2 linked regions of the Cricetulus griseus genome follow. The protein of the gene in region 1 interacts with the protein of each later gene in a pairwise test. Links are inferred from orthologs where the notes say so. Each region holds a gene or a part of one and is shown on either strand. Other genes may lie near its edges.

Region 1 (7,949 bases):
CCATAAATTCTTTTTTGAAGATAAGGTCTCACATAGTTTAGACTGACCTCAAACTTTGCATGTTGCTAGGGTTATCTCTGAATGCCTGATCCTGAGTCCATCTGCTGAGTGCTAGGGTCGCAAGTATTGCCACTGTGCCTGGTGGGACTGCTGTTTTAAAGTTGGTGGTGGATGAGATGTGGCCAGTAGCCCGAGGAGGGAGGCAGGAGCCCTGTAATGGTGATGCAGGACATGCTTCTCTGTCTTTGGGCTCCCTGCCTGGCTGGGACAACCTCAAGAGTGCTACCTCCCAGTCTCAGAACAAGGAACAGGCTGCACCAACCTTGATCTTGCCGCAGTGGGTGCCAAGGCCAGCCCCCCATCCTTCTTTAGGGTTGGCTGCTTCCTGCCTCTCAGTCTGCTTTGCTGTCCTTGACCTTGGGCTAGCAGGAGTTCTGTTGGCTGGGCCAGGCCTTGTTATCTCAGTCTCTGGGTGAGAATTCTTCACAGACTAGTGGAACTGTCATCGTAGAACCAGTTTGGGTGCCCTGTGCTAGGGTTCCTGCCCTTGTCTTTGACACCGTCCATTGTGCTCTCAGCAGGGGGTGTCCCCCTCCCCAAGCCTAGGAACTCAGATCATCCTTCTGGGCCACCCTCATCTGTAGCGATCACATCTATAGCTGTCTGCGTATGAGGGTTCCCTTCCTTAGCTCAGCTGTGCTGCTTTCTCCCCAGGAGGGGCCAGAGGCTGCTGGCTCCCTGCCCTTGGTGTTCAGGACCCCTGGTGCTCTCTGACCCTAGACCTGGGCACCCTTCAGGGTTGTATTTTAGGCTGACTGTGTGTGTGTGTGTGTGTGTGTGTGTGTGTGTGTGTGTGTGTGTGTGTGTGTGTGTGTGTGTTTGGGACAGGTACAGGCAGGGGTGGAGATGGTAGTGGTTGAGTGCAGTGAGGACCACGGTTTAAGAGGTACACGTAGATTTTCCCCAGTCTCCTTGGTCTGGACAGTGGAGACCCTGCCTGTTCCCTGGAGCTGTGTTGTCTTTTCTTTTTTTGTTGGACACTTTGCCTGTCTGTTGCCTGTGGGGACTGGGGTGTAACTCAGTGGTAGAGTACCCGCCTCACAATGTGAGAGCCCCAATACACAGTCCCAGAGCTTTTGGAGTGTGGTTCCTGTGACTGTAAGTAAAAGTGCACAGTTGAAGTTGGTGTGGTAGACAACTAATCCCTCAGCACTTGGGAAGCTGAGACAGGGTTTTGAGTTTAAGGCTATCCTGGCCTAAAGAGTCAGACCCTGCTGTGTCACCCCTGAGTACCACCCCTACCCCTGAAAGTATACAGCCAGTGACATTCAGCACATTTCATTGGGCAGCCCCACATCTGTGACTGACACTTTTGCATCACCCACAAAGAGCAGCTATCCTTTAGAATCTCCCCCTGCTGCCGCCTCAGCCTGTACCCTGTGGGGGCACCAGCAGGCTGCTGTCTGCCCTGGTCTGGTCCTGGCCACTCCTGTCCTGAAAGTCTGGCATCTTTCACCCAGCCAACCTCCTTGCTATGCTTAACATAACTTTTATCTTGCTTTTGATTTTGACATAATTCTAGAGGGTTAGGGAGTTGCAAAAATCACAGCAAGAATGGCCTCTGGCCCACTGGGAGAAGATGGCTATGGGGATCTGGGGCTTGGGCAGGGCGTGGGAGGCCTCTCGCTCGCTCGCTCACCTGGATCCGGCAGCTCCTCCCTCTCCTTGTGGCTTGGGGACTGCTGTTCAGTGTGGCCCCTCCATGCTGTTCTCTTGTAGCCAGTTGGTGCATCAGGGTTCCTGGCCTTGTTGCAGAGCCCCAGCTGGGGGAGAGGGTAGGGTTTCAGCCCTCCCCAGCAGCTGGCCCAGTAGGGAGAGGGGCTGGTTGTATTTTAAGCTGTTGAGTGGTTCAGCAGGAACTCCGTGGCCTTCTCTCCCAGTGGACATTGTGCCGCCTTCCTGTGATTCACATGGACACTGAGCATGAGCACAGTGCTTATGGGGAGCAGTATTAATATATCTGCAGCCCAGAGCCCTGCCACCAAGCCCCTTCTAGCCCATTCCTCATGTATTCATTCTCTCTCGTTTCTGGTCTGATACTGTCCTTATGTGGTTCAGTCATTTGCCCCTCAGGCCACAGGGTGAAGCTGAGTTTGCAGTGGATAGCAAGTGATTTCTGTACTCTCTCCTGCGCTGTGTCCATGATGTAGGCTCTGGCATAGATGGGCAAGCAGGCCTGGGTGCCACTGGCTGGCATAGAAGCCTTGCTCTGAATCCAGGCCTAGGCCCTGCAGGGCTGCTTCACTGTGTAGGGTCACCTCCATGGGGCCTCCCTACCTAATCACCAGGTAGTCACTTTTGTGGGGCCACAGACACACATACACACATGCACACATGCGCGCACGCGCGCACACACACACACACACACACACACACACACACACACACACACACACACACACACGCACATACTTCCCTTGTGCCAGCACCATGTTGGTTCATGCACATCCTCTCAGGGACCCCTAGCAGGCCAGGCCTGGGGTCAGACCCTAGGACTATCTTAGCCTCTGCTCTTTGGAGCATGCAGATGGCAGTGACCAGCTTCTCTGGCCTGTGATGTCCCCATCCTTGAGAATGAGAAGTCACAGATCCCCATAGGACCCCCAGGCCTCTCCCAGCTACTATGGACAGTGCAGACCATCATGTCAGCAGCCTTCTCTGACCTTCTGGGACAGGTGGCTCAGATCTCCTGGGGCTGTTTTCTTACTCTGTTCCTTTGCACCACTGAGTGGCTCTAGCCTGGGTATTTCTCCTTTGGAGACTGTGGACCCTAGGGGTATCGGCAGGCCTGGGTTGTGTGTTGAAGGCTTTGCAGCGAGACTCATCCATGGGTGAGGTGAGCACATTGATGTTGGCCTGATGTGGTAGACTGCCATGCAGGTGGTTTTGAAGCAGGTGTGGGTGGAACTGTTGAGAATGAGGAGAGGGGTGGAGAACCTTGCTCACTCTTTCCTCTCCATACTTAGAAAAGGAACTGTGCACCGATAACTCTGGAATTTGTCACCTCTCTGGGAACACAAATGCACAAGGGAAATAATCCAGTGTCCCTTACAGCTTAGAAGTGGCAATGCATGATCTGTCTCTCAGATTCTCTAGACAGCTGGCATTTCCCCAGGTCCAGTAACCTGTCAGCCAGAGCTGGGCACTGGGCCTGGGCTAGCCACCCCTGCCACTGGCTGTGTGCTTTTTCCCATCTCTGGGAGATTTTCTTGTCCCTGGCGCTTTTGAGGCCCAGTGTCCACTCAGCTGCTTCTATGAGGGTAGCCCCCAGGGGAGGACTGTGGTGTGGCTCCTTCGGGGGAACTTGGGATGGTTTTATATTTAGCCGGGCCGGGCCGGGCCCTGGTGCCACTCGGGTTACATCTGGCATTGAAGCTGGCTGGGTCTGGTCAGACACAGGCTCCTTTCCAGCACCGAGGCAGAGTTTCATCATGCTGCCCAGCCCAGCTCAGAGCAGCTTTGTGAGGGGAGGTCGGAGGTGGGGGCTGGTGGCTGGCAGTGGGCGCCACAGCCTGGTAGGCAGAGCAGTAGGGCCGACAGTGGCATGGATATCAGCTTGAGCATGGTGGCCAAGGAGGCCCACCAAGGCCTCGATGGTCTTCCCATGCCCGTGCCCCACAAGATAGCCAAGAAGCATAAAAAGGCGGTTCTCTTCTTTGAGGTGGAAATTCTGGATGCGAAGACGAGGGAGAAGCTGTGCTTCCTGGACAAGGTAGGACTGTGACCCTGGTGGTGAAGTTGTAGGGCTGTGCAGACATTGGTGGCCCCCTTGTCCTTCAGAGGGCACACAAGGGGTATTGCCTTCATCTAGAGCAGCAGTTCTCAAACTGTGGTCTCCACCCCTGTGGGGCTGCATATCAGATGCTTCTATTGTGATTCATAACAGTAGCAAAATTACAGATGTGAAATAGCAAGGAAATAATTTTTTGCTCGGGGTCACCACAACACAAGGAACTTTATTAAAGGATCACAGCATTAGGAAGGTTGAGAACCACTGAGCTAGAACGTGTAATCGTGACCCCTGCATAGGGCTGGGAGCTGGCTGCCTGGTAGGGGAAGGGATAAGGCAGCCTGGAAGGACCCTGTGTCTGTGAAGGAGGTGGAAGACAGATACACCCTGCTGAAGCCAGCTGGCGTGATCCTGACCGCCTGTGCCTGGCACCCCTGTCCCAGATCTGGGGCTCCTTTGGGACTGATAGTCTGTTTTCTCTCAGGTGGAGCCTCAGGCCACCATTGCTGAAATCAAGAATCTCTTCACCAAGACGCGTGAGTGCAGGCCCTACACTTCTATCCCCACTCCTGTCACCCCTCTGGATGAGAGACCTGGGCTTCCTTAGGGACTTGTAGAGAGGGCCTGTCAGCACACTGGAGCAGGGAATGGGGCCCCTCTGACTGGGCAGGCTGCCCCCGTGTGGCCACCTGCAGGAATGCTCTTGCGTTATTCAAAGGACAAAATCTGTAGCTGTTTGGGTGTGTTCTTGCATAGGGTGGGAAGAGCCGGGGGTCCCAGAATTCTGGGAACCTTGAGAGGCAGGCTGGGTTACGATGGGCAGGCTGAACCCAGCCAGACTGGGTGCTGCAACCTCACCTTCTCCTAGCAGACCCGCAGTGGTACCCTGCCCGCCAGTCCCTCCGCTTGGACCCCAGTGAGTACAGCCTTTCCCTTGGGCTCTTGGGGTCAGAAACCCAGGGCAGCATCTGAATACTGACTGATTTCTGTAGAGGGAAAGTCCCTGAAAGATGAAGATGTGTTGCAGAAGCTTCCTGTGGGCACCACAGCCACACTCTTCTTCCGGGACCTGGGGGCACAGATCAGCTGGGTGACGGTAAGCCCTGACCCCTTCCCTGGTCTCTGCCTTCAGCCACCCTGGGGTTACTCACCTTGTCTCTGGGCACTCCCAGGTCTTCCTGACTGAGTATGCTGGGCCCCTTTTCATCTACTTGCTCTTCTACTTCCGGGTACCCTTCATTTATGGCCACAAATACGACTTCACGTCCAGTCGGCACACAGTGGTGCAGTGAGTGGGGCCCACAGGAGAGTGGGAGGGGGCGGGGCGGGTGGAGGGCTGGAGCAACCCCAGCTGAATCAGCTGCCCCACCAGCCTCGCTTGCATCTGCCACTCATCCCACTACGTCAAGCGTCTGCTGGAGACCCTCTTCGTGCACCGCTTCTCTCACGGAACCATGCCCTTGCGAAACATCTTCAAAGTGAGCATCCTTATTCTTTCTGCTCTGCCCAGCAGCACCCGCCCTCCCTAGGCTCACTCATCTGCTCTCTTTCAGAACTGCACCTACTACTGGGGCTTTGCTGCATGGATGGCCTATTACATCAACCACCCTCTCTACACACCCCCTAGTAAGTGGGCCCAGACAGTGCCCTCATCCCGTGACCCCCATCACCAACCTTCTTCTTATGGGGCCCTTCTTTTTGCCTTTTCTGCAGCCTACGGAGCCCAGCAGGTTAAGTTGGCGCTGACCATCTTTGTGGTAAAGAGGCTGGGGTGGCAACCAAGTGTGGTGAGGTGAGGTGGCTGGGTGAGGTGAGGTTGGGGCCTCTGGGCTGATCCTGTTCTCCTTGATAGATCTGCCAGCTTGGCAACTTCTCCATCCACATGGCTCTTCGGGACCTTCGGCCAGCTGGTGAGTGGCCAGATGGGGCTGGGGCTGGGGCTGGGGCTGGGGCTGGGGAGGGATCTGACTTACTCTTGTCCTGCATGCCAGGGTCCAAAACCAGGAAGATCCCATATCCCACCAAGAACCCCTTCACCTGGCTATTTCTGTTGGTGTCCTGTCCCAACTACACTTACGAGGTGAGACTGCCTTTTTCCTCTTGGATTTGAGGTCCTATATGAGGTGAAGTGTAGGGGTGGGTTGTGGGGAGTAATAAAGCTTGAATATGGGGAGACTGCTGCCTTCCTTCCCCAGGGATACATGTGATGCTGGGCTTCCCTCTGTGCCCTCACCCTGCTTGTGCTGTTCACAGGTGGGGTCCTGGATTGGCTTTGCCATCATGACGCAGTGTGTTCCAGGTGAGTCCCTTGTTCCCGTGCAGTGCCCTTCCCTTCTGACTGGGCATCCCTATTCTGATATCCCGTTCTGCCCACAGTGGCCCTCTTCTCCTTGGTGGGCTTCACCCAGATGACCATCTGGGCCAAGGGCAAGCACCGCAGCTACCTGAAGGAGTTCCGTGACTACCCACCCCTGCGCATGCCCATCATCCCTTTCCTGCTCTGAGCAGTTCTCATGGGCTCAGCCAGGAGCACTCTCTACCCAATGCCCCTCTGTCCTGGGGTGATCGTGGCTCTCTAGCAGCAACAATAAATCTGCTTACCCAGCTGGTCTTGGGCTTTGTGTTCTTTAGGGGCCCAAGGGCCACCCGTTCCTCCCCACCCTTGAGGCAGTGCAGATGAAGGTTGGACAGTTGACTCAGAGTGTTTATTCCACTGATAGGTCCACAGGTGGTGGGTGACCCTAGAGGGCCACCTCAGGGCCCACCTCTCCTTCTCCCTGGCCCCGGGATACCCGTTCCGCCTTCTCTTCCCTCCGTTTCTTCCTCTGGAGCAGCCTCCGTTCACGTTCAAACTCCTTCATTCGCTTCACGTAGCTGTTGGCAGAGCAGATACAAGGTCTCAATGCCACAGGCCCTGACCTGGTCCCATTCCCAGCCACCAGGAAACCCTAGCTAGGGTGAGGCCTCCCACTGAAATCCTGGCTTGGCCCTCTGATGGCTCCAGCCTCTTCCCCATGCCCATGTGTGGGTGCTTGTGGTGTGGGTAGGGGCAGGGCAGGCTCACTCCATGTGCTCGCAGTAGTCCCAGTCATGCCGCTCATGCTTGCAAGCCAGGAAGTTGGGGAAGCTGTCGCGCTTGCACTTGAGCAGCCTGATGAGGTAGTGGGCGCAGTAGTCACGTTGCTGCAGTGTCAGCTGGGCATTGTTCATCTCCTGTTGTGTAGCCACCATTACTGTGGGGAGTGGTAAGGCTCAGCATCAGAGCCAATCCCCAACTCCACCAACTCCCAGGATGCACATGGCACAAATGAAGCCACATACAGGGTATCCCTCATTGGGTTAGCAGAACCAATTCGGATTATGGCCATGTCCTGACAGAAGGAAGGGTGACACTGATCCCTTTGGGTATGTAAACAGTACAGAGAGTTCTCACCTCCCTTCCTCTAGCGATGCTATCTTCCAAAAAGTTAAGGGAAGGTCAGTGTTCACTTTCCAGCCGGCTTCCCCATTACAGAAATATGCCAGGTCCAGCATGGATGCTGCTAGGCTGTCAGCTAAGCCAACGGAGCTGTGGTAACCACAAGTAACTCAGGAATGCATCATTAGGTGGTACCAGTGTAACCAACCAGCATAGTGTGTATTTACATAGATAAGACAGGTTCATCACTAACTCACAGGACTTCGGAACTGTCATTGTCTGAGGTTGACATAAATGTTCCCATGTATGTGGCGCATGTTAAATGCTCATGTGTGAGCTTTGGGTAGATAATCTAGATCTGAAAGGGTATGTTCCATCACTGGGTGAGGAACAGTTGTCATACTACAGCCTGTACCCACTGTGCCCCATACTCCCACATCTTATCAACCCAACAGGACCCTATTTGCTGGGTCTTTAGGCCTGCCTCCTCTCCACCCGTGCCTTGGTCCTAGCCTCCATTTATTGCATTAAAACCTACTCCCATAGAAGGCCTGGTGGCTCAAGGCCTGTCACCTTCAGCTACTCAGGAGGCTGAGGAGAGAACCACAAGTTTAAGACCTGCTTGGGCTTCAGAATGTGGGCAACGGAAGTTGGCAAGCTGCCTGGAGAGATGGCTCAGTGGGTAACAGCATCACTGCTCTAGAAGAGAACTGGGATTTTGTTCCCCAAACTCATAATCCC
Region 2 (8,697 bases), on another chromosome or scaffold:
AAGATGCTATGGCTAGGCAGAGTAGGGTGGGAAGTGGGACTTTAGTAGGCATTCAACAAGAACTACTTTTGCGAAAAATCTCTAGCTCCCAAAATGGATCACAAGGTAACTAAAAGCAGGGTAAAACCCCAGCATGTCTACCTTAATTTTTAAACAAATCTGATGGGGGAGGTCCTTCTGTGTATGTTTATCTTATTGGTTGTTGAATAAAGCACTGCTTGGCAAATGAGGCAGAAAGATAGGTGGGAACTAGGAGTCAAGGAGGATTCTGGGAAATGTAGTAAAGAGAATGTAGTGATGTAGTGATCCAGGCAGGAAGTGGCATAGCAGGCTGACTCAGAATATAAGCAGGGACAAGAAGGAAATCGCTCTCTTCCTCTTCTTCCTCCTTTCTTCTCTGGAGCTGCCATGTGAGCCTGATGAGAGAGGACACATGCCACTGGCATCCTCGATCAGATAAGTCTTTATAAATATATAGATTATGGCTATGGTTAATACTTAAGACAGAGCACGCATGTGAGAAATCCTAGTCATTAGCCAGCAGCTAATAGCATTTGTACCTAATATAAGTCTCTGTGTGTTATTTCAGGCACCCATGTGGCAGTGGGGCTCGGGCAGTTGTCATAAAGACTTTTCGTTACATAAATCTGTCTCCTTTATTTTGGATCAGTTACCTGATTCATTTTGCTCATGAGTAGATTAATCAATCAAAAAGTGTCTACCTAAAACATGCTGTGGTGGTTTTAATAAGAATGCCTCCCCTATTCATATATTTGGATGTTTACTCACCAGAGAGTGATGTTATTTAAAAGGATTAGAAGGTTTAAGAGGTGTGGCCTTGTTGGAGGAATTGTGTCACTGGGGGTGAACTTTGAAGTTTCAAAAACCCATGCCAAGCCCAGAGTCAGTCTCTCTCTCTCTCTCTCTCTCTCTCTCTCTCTCTCTCTCTCTCTCTCTCTGCCCATGGACCAGGGTGTAGCTCTCAGCTACTGCTCCAGTGCCATGCAAGCAAGCCCCCTATTAAATACTTTCTTCCATTGCTTTGGTCATGGTGTTTCTTCACTGCAATAGGATAGTGGCTAAGATACATGGTAATTACCTATCCCAACACCCTTTAAAACTAAAGGCACAACAATAATGGTAACTAAGCTATTTTACTGTCAGCTGATTACAATATCATGTTCTGGAAACCACTGTAGTTCCTGAAGGTCTCCAGTCATTGTCCTAATACTGTAGTCACTGTGGATCCAAGAACAGAAGAGCCTTGCAGACAAACCATTCTACCATGAGAGTACCCTGTGAACAATCTTCTCATAGCTTATCTTCTCAATAGATATGACTCTTCCTCCTACTTTACTGAACCTGAACTGAGGCAATGATCAACGTAATCCCACATTGGCCAAGATTACTTATCTATGAATACTTCTTCCCTGTGTTCTAGTTCTTCTTCTGTTTATATCTAAGGCTTGTGTCAGTGCTCCAAAAATGAACTTGCACCCATTGATCTGTATTTCCCAATGTAGCCACACTGGTTAATCTCTTTTCTCTGTTCTTCATAATTACTCATCATTATCGTGTGTGTATTGGGATGGGTGGCTCTGAACAAAATGTTGGCACTTAGATCCAGGGCTTATTACCTAAGTCTCCAGTAACAAGACCAAAGGGACAAGTGAATAATAAACAAACTATTCAGATTAAGGTCACACTGAACTTCTTACACTTTATCTTAACTGTCATTAAAAACCATTTAAATGCCATAAGGGAACAGGATGAGAGAAGTAGTAGATGCAAACAAATTTGTACTTAGAAAAGATCATCTATACTTTGCAGAAGTGATGGGGTTGTATAAAAATGACGACAAGAAGATACACTAAGTTTTAAGTTGATTTCCAATTTTATGTGTTTGTGCCTCCTACTTCCCCATTAAGTATATTATATTGGAAAGAGAATCAATTAAATGAATGAGAGAAGCTTTTAGGTGAATGATTATTCTGCAAATAGTTCACTTCTTTATGAGAAAGGGGAAAGGTTTTGTTGCACTTTTGATCTCCCTTTAAAAAAAAAGATTTATTTGTTTATTTATTTTAGGAATGTTTTGCCATCATGTATATATATATTCTAAGTGTGTTCCTGGTGCTTTTGTAGGTCAGATGAGGCTAATGGATTCCCTGAAACTAGAGTTCGGGATGGTTCTGAATCAACATGTGTATGCTGAAAACCAAACCTGTTCCTTTCTCCCTGCCTTGTTCTTTAAGGAAACCAGGAAAAACAAGGCCACAGGAGGTCTTACAATCTTGGAGAACAGTAAGGGATGAGAATTTAACAACTGCTCAGTTTCTCCCTCTCAGTTTTTGGGGGTCTCATGGTTTTAAATTCTATAATCATCCTGATACTCTCAAATCTCCGTCTCTCTCTCTGTCTCTCTCTCTGTCTGTCTCTGTCTCTGTGTCTGTCTCTGTCTCTCTCTCTCTCTCTCTCTCTCTCTTTCTCTCTCTCTCTCTCTCTAACCTTCCTGTCTTCCTGAACCTCGGAGTCTAAAATTAATTGTCTTTATTCTTCCAAGCTGTCCCAATGTCTCTTCACCTTCCATTCAAATCTAATGCACTGTCTAAACATTTTATGAACTGTAATAAAATATTCTGAAAATTCAGTGTTCATCACTTTACTATCATCATGACCTGGGTTATTGTAATAGTTTTCTAATTGATACCACTTTTCACCAACTAATGCATATTTATTCGTGTCTAGCTCCTTCTGTGTAATCTCTGGGCGACTGAAGACTTTTTGTCTTTTTCCATTAGTGTTATAAACTCTAATACAACCTTGTAGATGCTCCATAAATATTTCTTGGAATCAATACATATTTTATTGCATTACGTAAATAGTTACTATTTATGGGGATGCTTGGTTGCATGAACACGGATGCCAAGGTAATTTGACGAAGAAACTCCTAGAAAAAGGAGTGGTGTCAGCAGATAAAAGCAGTTTCTAGAAGTTGTTTCTGTTTTCACTCAGTAGGAGAGTTTCCCACCTAGACCCTGTGGGTATTAACAACTCTTTACACCTCACATGGTCCTCAACTAACCACCGAAGCACCTTAAATCCTGCGTCACAAAAATCAGGCCTATGAATGGAGATGAACTGCCTAACTGTTAGCGACTGCTGGGAGTCTCCACTGTACAGTGCAGGTTAACTAAAAATCAAAAGACAAGGAAGAACCTGTTGAAGACTGGTTCCCCAACTTGGCTACAGTTAGAAGAAAAAGATACGTGTTGCAAAAATGCTGGCTCCTTCTGATCTCTTGACAGGATGGAAGCTTAACTGACGTTAATCGCCCTAATCTAAAATGATAACTTCTTGGGCAATTGTGTGAAGACATGGCACCTGGGAGAGGATTAGAAGAAATAGGGACTGGGACACATCCTTTGGATCCAGTAGGATGGTAAAGAGACAAATTACGCGTAAGACCAGGCCTGGAACAACGTGAGGCCCAGAGTCACATTAACCTAGTTAAACATGGAGTTGGACACCGACACCGACAGCGTGCCGGAAGTGGGAAAGAAATTACCCCCATCCAACACGGGGACAGTTACCGAGACGAGCCCACAGGCGGGAGCTCCTAGAGCGTCTTTGCCCTCATCCAAGATGGCGGCCCCGTGGGCGCTGTCCCGGCTCCGCCCCGTGCCGCGGCCCCGCCTCTTCTTCGCCCCTCCCTCCGCCCCCTCGCAGTCTCCAGCCGGGTCTGAGGTGCAGGCGCGAGGAGAGCGGGCTGCAGGCGCTTGACATGGCGGCAGTGGCGGCGACTGCGGCGACCAAGGGGAATGGGGGCGGCAGCGGCCGAGCCGGGGCCGGCGAAGGCGGCGGCACGCGGAAGAGGAAGGGCCCCGGGCCTGTGGCCACGGCGTACCTGGTCATCTACAATGTGGTGATGACGGCCGGGTGAGGCTGCGCGCGGGGAGGCGGGGAGCGAGCTCTGCGGCCGGGCGGCCAAGTGTGGGAACCCGCACCCGGGGCCGCCGCGGTGCGGAGCGCGGGGAAGGCTGGCCCGGGGCCGCCTGGGCAGGGCCTCGCCGGGGCGGGCGAGCGGGCTGGCCACAGGTGCGGGTCGGGTCGGGGCGCAGTGGAGGGGAGGCCAGCCCGGGCGGCCGGTCACGAGCCGCGGCGTGGAAGCAGCGCTGGCTGCGGAGACCATTCATTTCAGCGGTGGTTTTCAAAACCCGGGCAGAGCTTTCATCTCCGAGGGAGTGGGAAGGCGTTCAAAGTTTTTGGCCAGCCACCCGAGTCGGAGCTGTCCGATGGCCGGATATAGACTTCCTAGACAGGACTGGGGCAAGTTGAGGTTGGGAGAGTATCGACCCTCAAAATGGTTTTGCCCTATTGCAGTCTGTCCCTTAATAGCAGGGTTTTAGTTCTAGTTCTCACACAACTTGCCGTGTGACTTTGAATGAATCTGCTGCTTTCTCTGGGCCTCTGGATTTTTTTTTTTTTTTTTCCGGTTAGGTGGAATTGGGCTAGGTGAATCCAGTTTCGAAATCCGGTAGTTTTGGTGAGGTGGATCACAATATAAATTGTTAGGAAATTTCTAAGCTGTGAAACACATTTTCTTACTTTTCCTTTCTTTGCTTTTTTTTTTTTTTAGATCTAGAGAGCTCTTCATGTAGTCTTGGTTGGCCCAGAACTTGTGATCCTCCTGTCTCTGTCTTCTGACGTTGGAATTAGTGGCCCGTGACACCACTCTAGACTTCCTAGCATTCATTCCTTTGTTTATTTACTGGTCCTGGAATTGAACCTAAGGCCTCACACTTGCACCCATTCTTCTCTGCTATATCCCTACCACTGTAGCTATTTTTTAGGTAAAGCTTTCAAATATACAGAAAAGAATTAGTAATATAAATGGGAGCTATTTTTTAGGTAAAGCTTTCAAATATACAGAAAAGAATTAGTAATATAAATGGGAGGTGTTGAAACATACGCTCAGGTTGTGCATGGTGGATCTCTGAGTTCAAGGCCATCCTGAGTGAGTTCCAGGACAGCTTCATTATGGAATTTAATAGGGGATCCTAGGGCCTAATATTTGTTTTTGAGATGGAAAATGGAGCAGAAAAGTAATGTTCACAACTGTATGTTCCTGTGCTTTCTTGTTTCATGTTTTTCTAATCAATAAGCCTATTGATCTCTTTTCTCATTTGGTTTTGGGAAATTTAAAACTGTTGTTTTTCAAAGGCAACTTTTTATTCATATTCCATAGGTGATTTAGGTAAGAAAGATTATATATGGACATATCCCACTGAGACACTTGTGAAAATAGTTTTTCCAGTCTTACTATTATTATTAAAGCCCCTTTAATAGCACAGTTGAAACCCGAACACTTTGTTCCCCCTTAGACATTCTGGGATCTGATTTAACTGCACAAAGACTATGTTAGGTTATTCCATTTGTATTAGTCTTGTTCTTAGCAGATATATTTACCGAAGAACCAAGTTCCAGATGAGTGAGGTGCCACTGTGTAATTTTATTTTAACAGGATGCTGTAGGTGGTGTAACACTTATTCGTGCTACAACTTGGCCTTTGGGAGCTATAGTTGGCGTGTCCATCACTTTTATACCACACTTGAAATAATCCCATTACAAAGAAGGAAGGTTTGTTTTGGTGCACAGTTTTGGAGGTCCAGTCCTACAGCTGAAGGACCTCCTTGTGTTGGGCCAAGTGACAAAGCAGGAACAGAACTGTTCACCTTGTAATCATGCCACAAAAGAGGAAGAAAGAGGATCAGGATTTCACAATCTTCTTTCAGGGCATGTCCCCAGTAACTTACTTCTCAGTAGGCCTCACCTCTCAAAGGTTCCACCACCTCCAAGTAGTGTCACTTTGGGGAGCATGCCCTTCACATGGGTGTGGGGTGGGTAGTAGCATTAAAGCAGTGACTCTCTACCTTCCTAACACTTTGACCCTTTAATACAGTTCCTCATGTTGTTGTGAGCCCTAACCATAAAACTATTTTTGTTGCTACTTCAAACTGTAATATTGCTACTGTTATGAGTTGTAATGTTTTCTGATGGTCTTAAGCGACCCCTGTGAATGGATTGTTTGACACTCAAAGGGGTCTCAACCTTAAAGCCAAACCATTGCAATTGATAAATCCAGTATTCTAGGATTTTTTTTTAAATAAGTTATGCTTTTACTATATCTTTTTTTTTTTTTTTTTTTTTTTTTTTTTTTTTTTTTTTTACTATATCCAACTTAGGTTTTGTTCTCTCTCCTAATTGCACTTTCTCTTTTTTACTAGGTGGCTGGTGATAGCAGTTGGGCTTGTGAGAGCATACCTGGCTAAGGGCAGCTACCACAGTCTTTATTATTCAATAGAGAAGCCTTTGAAATTTTTCCAAACAGGAGCCTTACTGGAGGTACGTTTTGAGATTTTTGTCACTAATCTCAAATGTTATAAAGTAAAAAAACATGCTGTTATTATGATAAAATATATTGAAATTGCCTTATCCTTGTTGAGTTTGCTTTAAATTTGGAAATTTTGTTTTATGAAATCAATGCCTCAACTGTCTTTGAAATTCCAAAAAAATTTAAAATTCCACTTTCTATCCAGCTGTTATAGGAAACAAATGACTCAAGCTTGTATTAGGATTTTGAAAAATTCTAGGAATGCCCTAGTGAAGTGTTGACAAACTCATGCTTTCAGGGTCCATATAGCAGGGATTGCTGTAACAGGAATGGTGAGTGTCATTGGTGATGATAGTATGTTAGTAATAGATTGGAAACACAGCAGTACCTGCCCAGAGACATCCAAATCTAAAATTATTAACAAAGGCTTTGAAGGACAGTAGAGATTCTCAGTGAGACTGTTGGTTCTGGGCTTATCTTAGTCCTCTTTGTTGAATCAGTGTAGTTCAGGTTTTGAGTATAATTGGATTTTTGAGTTATGTCTGACAGAAAAAAATCCAGCTCAAAGAATTTTAAGAATAAAGAAATCTTCTGGTCTGAAGCTGATAAAGATATAAAGTTATGGGCTGGAAGGATGGTTCAGAAATTAAGAGCCCTGGCTGCTCTCTCGGAAGACCTGGGTTCAATCCCCAACACCCACATGGTGGATCACAATTGTCTGTAACTCCAGTTCCAGGGAATCTGACACCCTCTTGACCCCCGAGGGCACCAAGAATACATATGCAAAAACACTCATAAAAGTAAGTTAGTAAAATAATCTTCTAAAAAGATAAAAGGTTAACTGTCAAGATGAAAGGAACCAGCTCAGGACTGAGAACCAGTGATTTTGACATTAGAACTGTTTCTCTTAGGCTCTACTGTTGTAGACATCCTTTATGTGGTGGGGAGGGGGTTGGTTTTTCTGAGCGTCTGTATCAGGTATAGTTCTAGGAAGGATTCTGGTTGGCCCTGTTTGTTCCAGCTTGATCAGCAGGCTTAGAGCACGTGCCTGTTCTTCTGGCCAATGGACTATAGATTTTGGTAGTGGAAAAAGAGGCTGAGATTATTTAGGGTCATACAAAATCAAAAGCTGCATAGTTGTAGTGAAAAAGCTTTGAGTAGTATAGAAGACAAGATGGGCAATTTATTTCCCTTATTCTCGAGGGCAAAAGCAGCATGACGATTGTGTCTCAGTGGCAATTTAAAATCCAAACTAGGGAATAATGTTTAAGATCTCCAGTTCTCACCCTGACTTTTAAAAGCAAAAAGTTGTAGCTTTTGTTTCTGCTTTTTTCTCTTAGAAAGTAAGCTCTCTCCACTCTTGCGCCTGTCAGGGGTGCTGTGATTTGAGCATCCCCTGAGTACCTATGCTAGCCGTGCTGCATTGACCAGCACAGCCTGCAGATTGGTCTTTTATCCCTTGGCCACCTTTTTGACTTGGAAAACAATTAGGCTAGAACTGATTTCTAGTTTCTTCCTGTTCAAATACTATGAATCCCAGAAAAATAGCAGATTCTTGTTGCAGGCTTTCTTGGACTGCCAGCCCTCCAGATCATGACATGGAGACTTATTACTAATTATTAATGATTGGCCTTAGCTTAGGCTTGTTTCTAGCTAGCTTTTTGGTTTTCCTTTTAACTTAAATTTACCCATTTCTGTTAATCTACATGCTGCCCCAAGTCTCATTTACCTTATCTAGGTACTGCCCATCCTGCCTTCCTGCTTCCTTTTTGACTGGCTGATTGGCTCCCCTTTTCTCAATTCCTGTTAGCCCCACCTGTCCCTCCTCTGCTTAGTTATTGGCTGGTCAGGTTTTTATTTGACCAATCAGGTGCCTTAAGCATGCAAGGTGAAATAGCAAAACACTTTTCCATAGTTAAACAAATACAGCATAGACAAATGCAGCACACCTTTACATATTTATTTTGCAACACAATGTAATACATCTTTACATCATTAAACGAATATTCTATTCCACAACAGATTCTAGTGTGAATCATTTTTAAGTTTAGTTCCAGGGATTCCTCGAACCGGGAAGAAATATAAGTAGCATTCTTTTTAATCACCTTGTCACACACAGTTCCCTCAGCTACAGAGAAGCACATCTGAGATCAGGGCCATCAGAAACTGCCTCAGTGCCTGATGTAGGAGGGGTTACTCAGGGTGAAAACATGACCTCGATTTTAAGGGGATTTCCTTGAGGATTTTGTAATATATAAGTATAATTTTAAAAAATTAAGTATGTCTTAGAGAAGGTAAGTCTC

What was found.
Region 2: the proteins of Tecr (region 1) and Hacd2 interact in binary tests that used the Homo sapiens proteins (3 or more experiments, as listed by UniProt). The link is inferred for Cricetulus griseus from reciprocal best matches to the Homo sapiens genes TECR and HACD2.

The regions. Positions count from the first base shown.
Region 1 is NC_048596.1:160,823,443-160,831,391, forward strand, and holds the end of Tecr (very-long-chain enoyl-CoA reductase), read left to right. Parts: intron 1-3,721; coding exon 3,722-3,772; intron 3,773-4,274; coding exon 4,275-4,326; intron 4,327-4,658; coding exon of another isoform or gene 4,659-4,661; coding exon 4,662-4,706; intron 4,707-4,782; coding exon 4,783-4,886; intron 4,887-4,962; coding exon 4,963-5,078; intron 5,079-5,162; coding exon 5,163-5,268; intron 5,269-5,343; coding exon 5,344-5,416; intron 5,417-5,503; coding exon 5,504-5,547; intron 5,548-5,642; coding exon 5,643-5,700; intron 5,701-5,781; coding exon 5,782-5,870; intron 5,871-6,043; coding exon 6,044-6,089; intron 6,090-6,166; coding exon 6,167-6,294; 3' UTR 6,295-6,399; downstream 6,400-7,949. Other genes in the region: Ndufb7 (NADH dehydrogenase [ubiquinone] 1 beta subcomplex subunit 7), read right to left, coding at 6,532-6,664, 6,855-7,023. UniProt on the Homo sapiens protein: Involved in both the production of very long-chain fatty acids for sphingolipid synthesis and the degradation of the sphingosine moiety in sphingolipids through the sphingosine 1-phosphate metabolic pathway.
Region 2 is NC_048597.1:54,614,401-54,623,097, reverse strand, and holds the start of Hacd2 (very-long-chain (3R)-3-hydroxyacyl-CoA dehydratase 2), read left to right. Parts: upstream 1-3,723; 5' UTR 3,724-3,784; coding exon 3,785-3,939; intron 3,940-6,287; coding exon 6,288-6,405; intron 6,406-8,697. UniProt on the Homo sapiens protein: Catalyzes the third of the very long-chain fatty acids (VLCFA) elongation four-step cycle (condensation, reduction, dehydration, and reduction).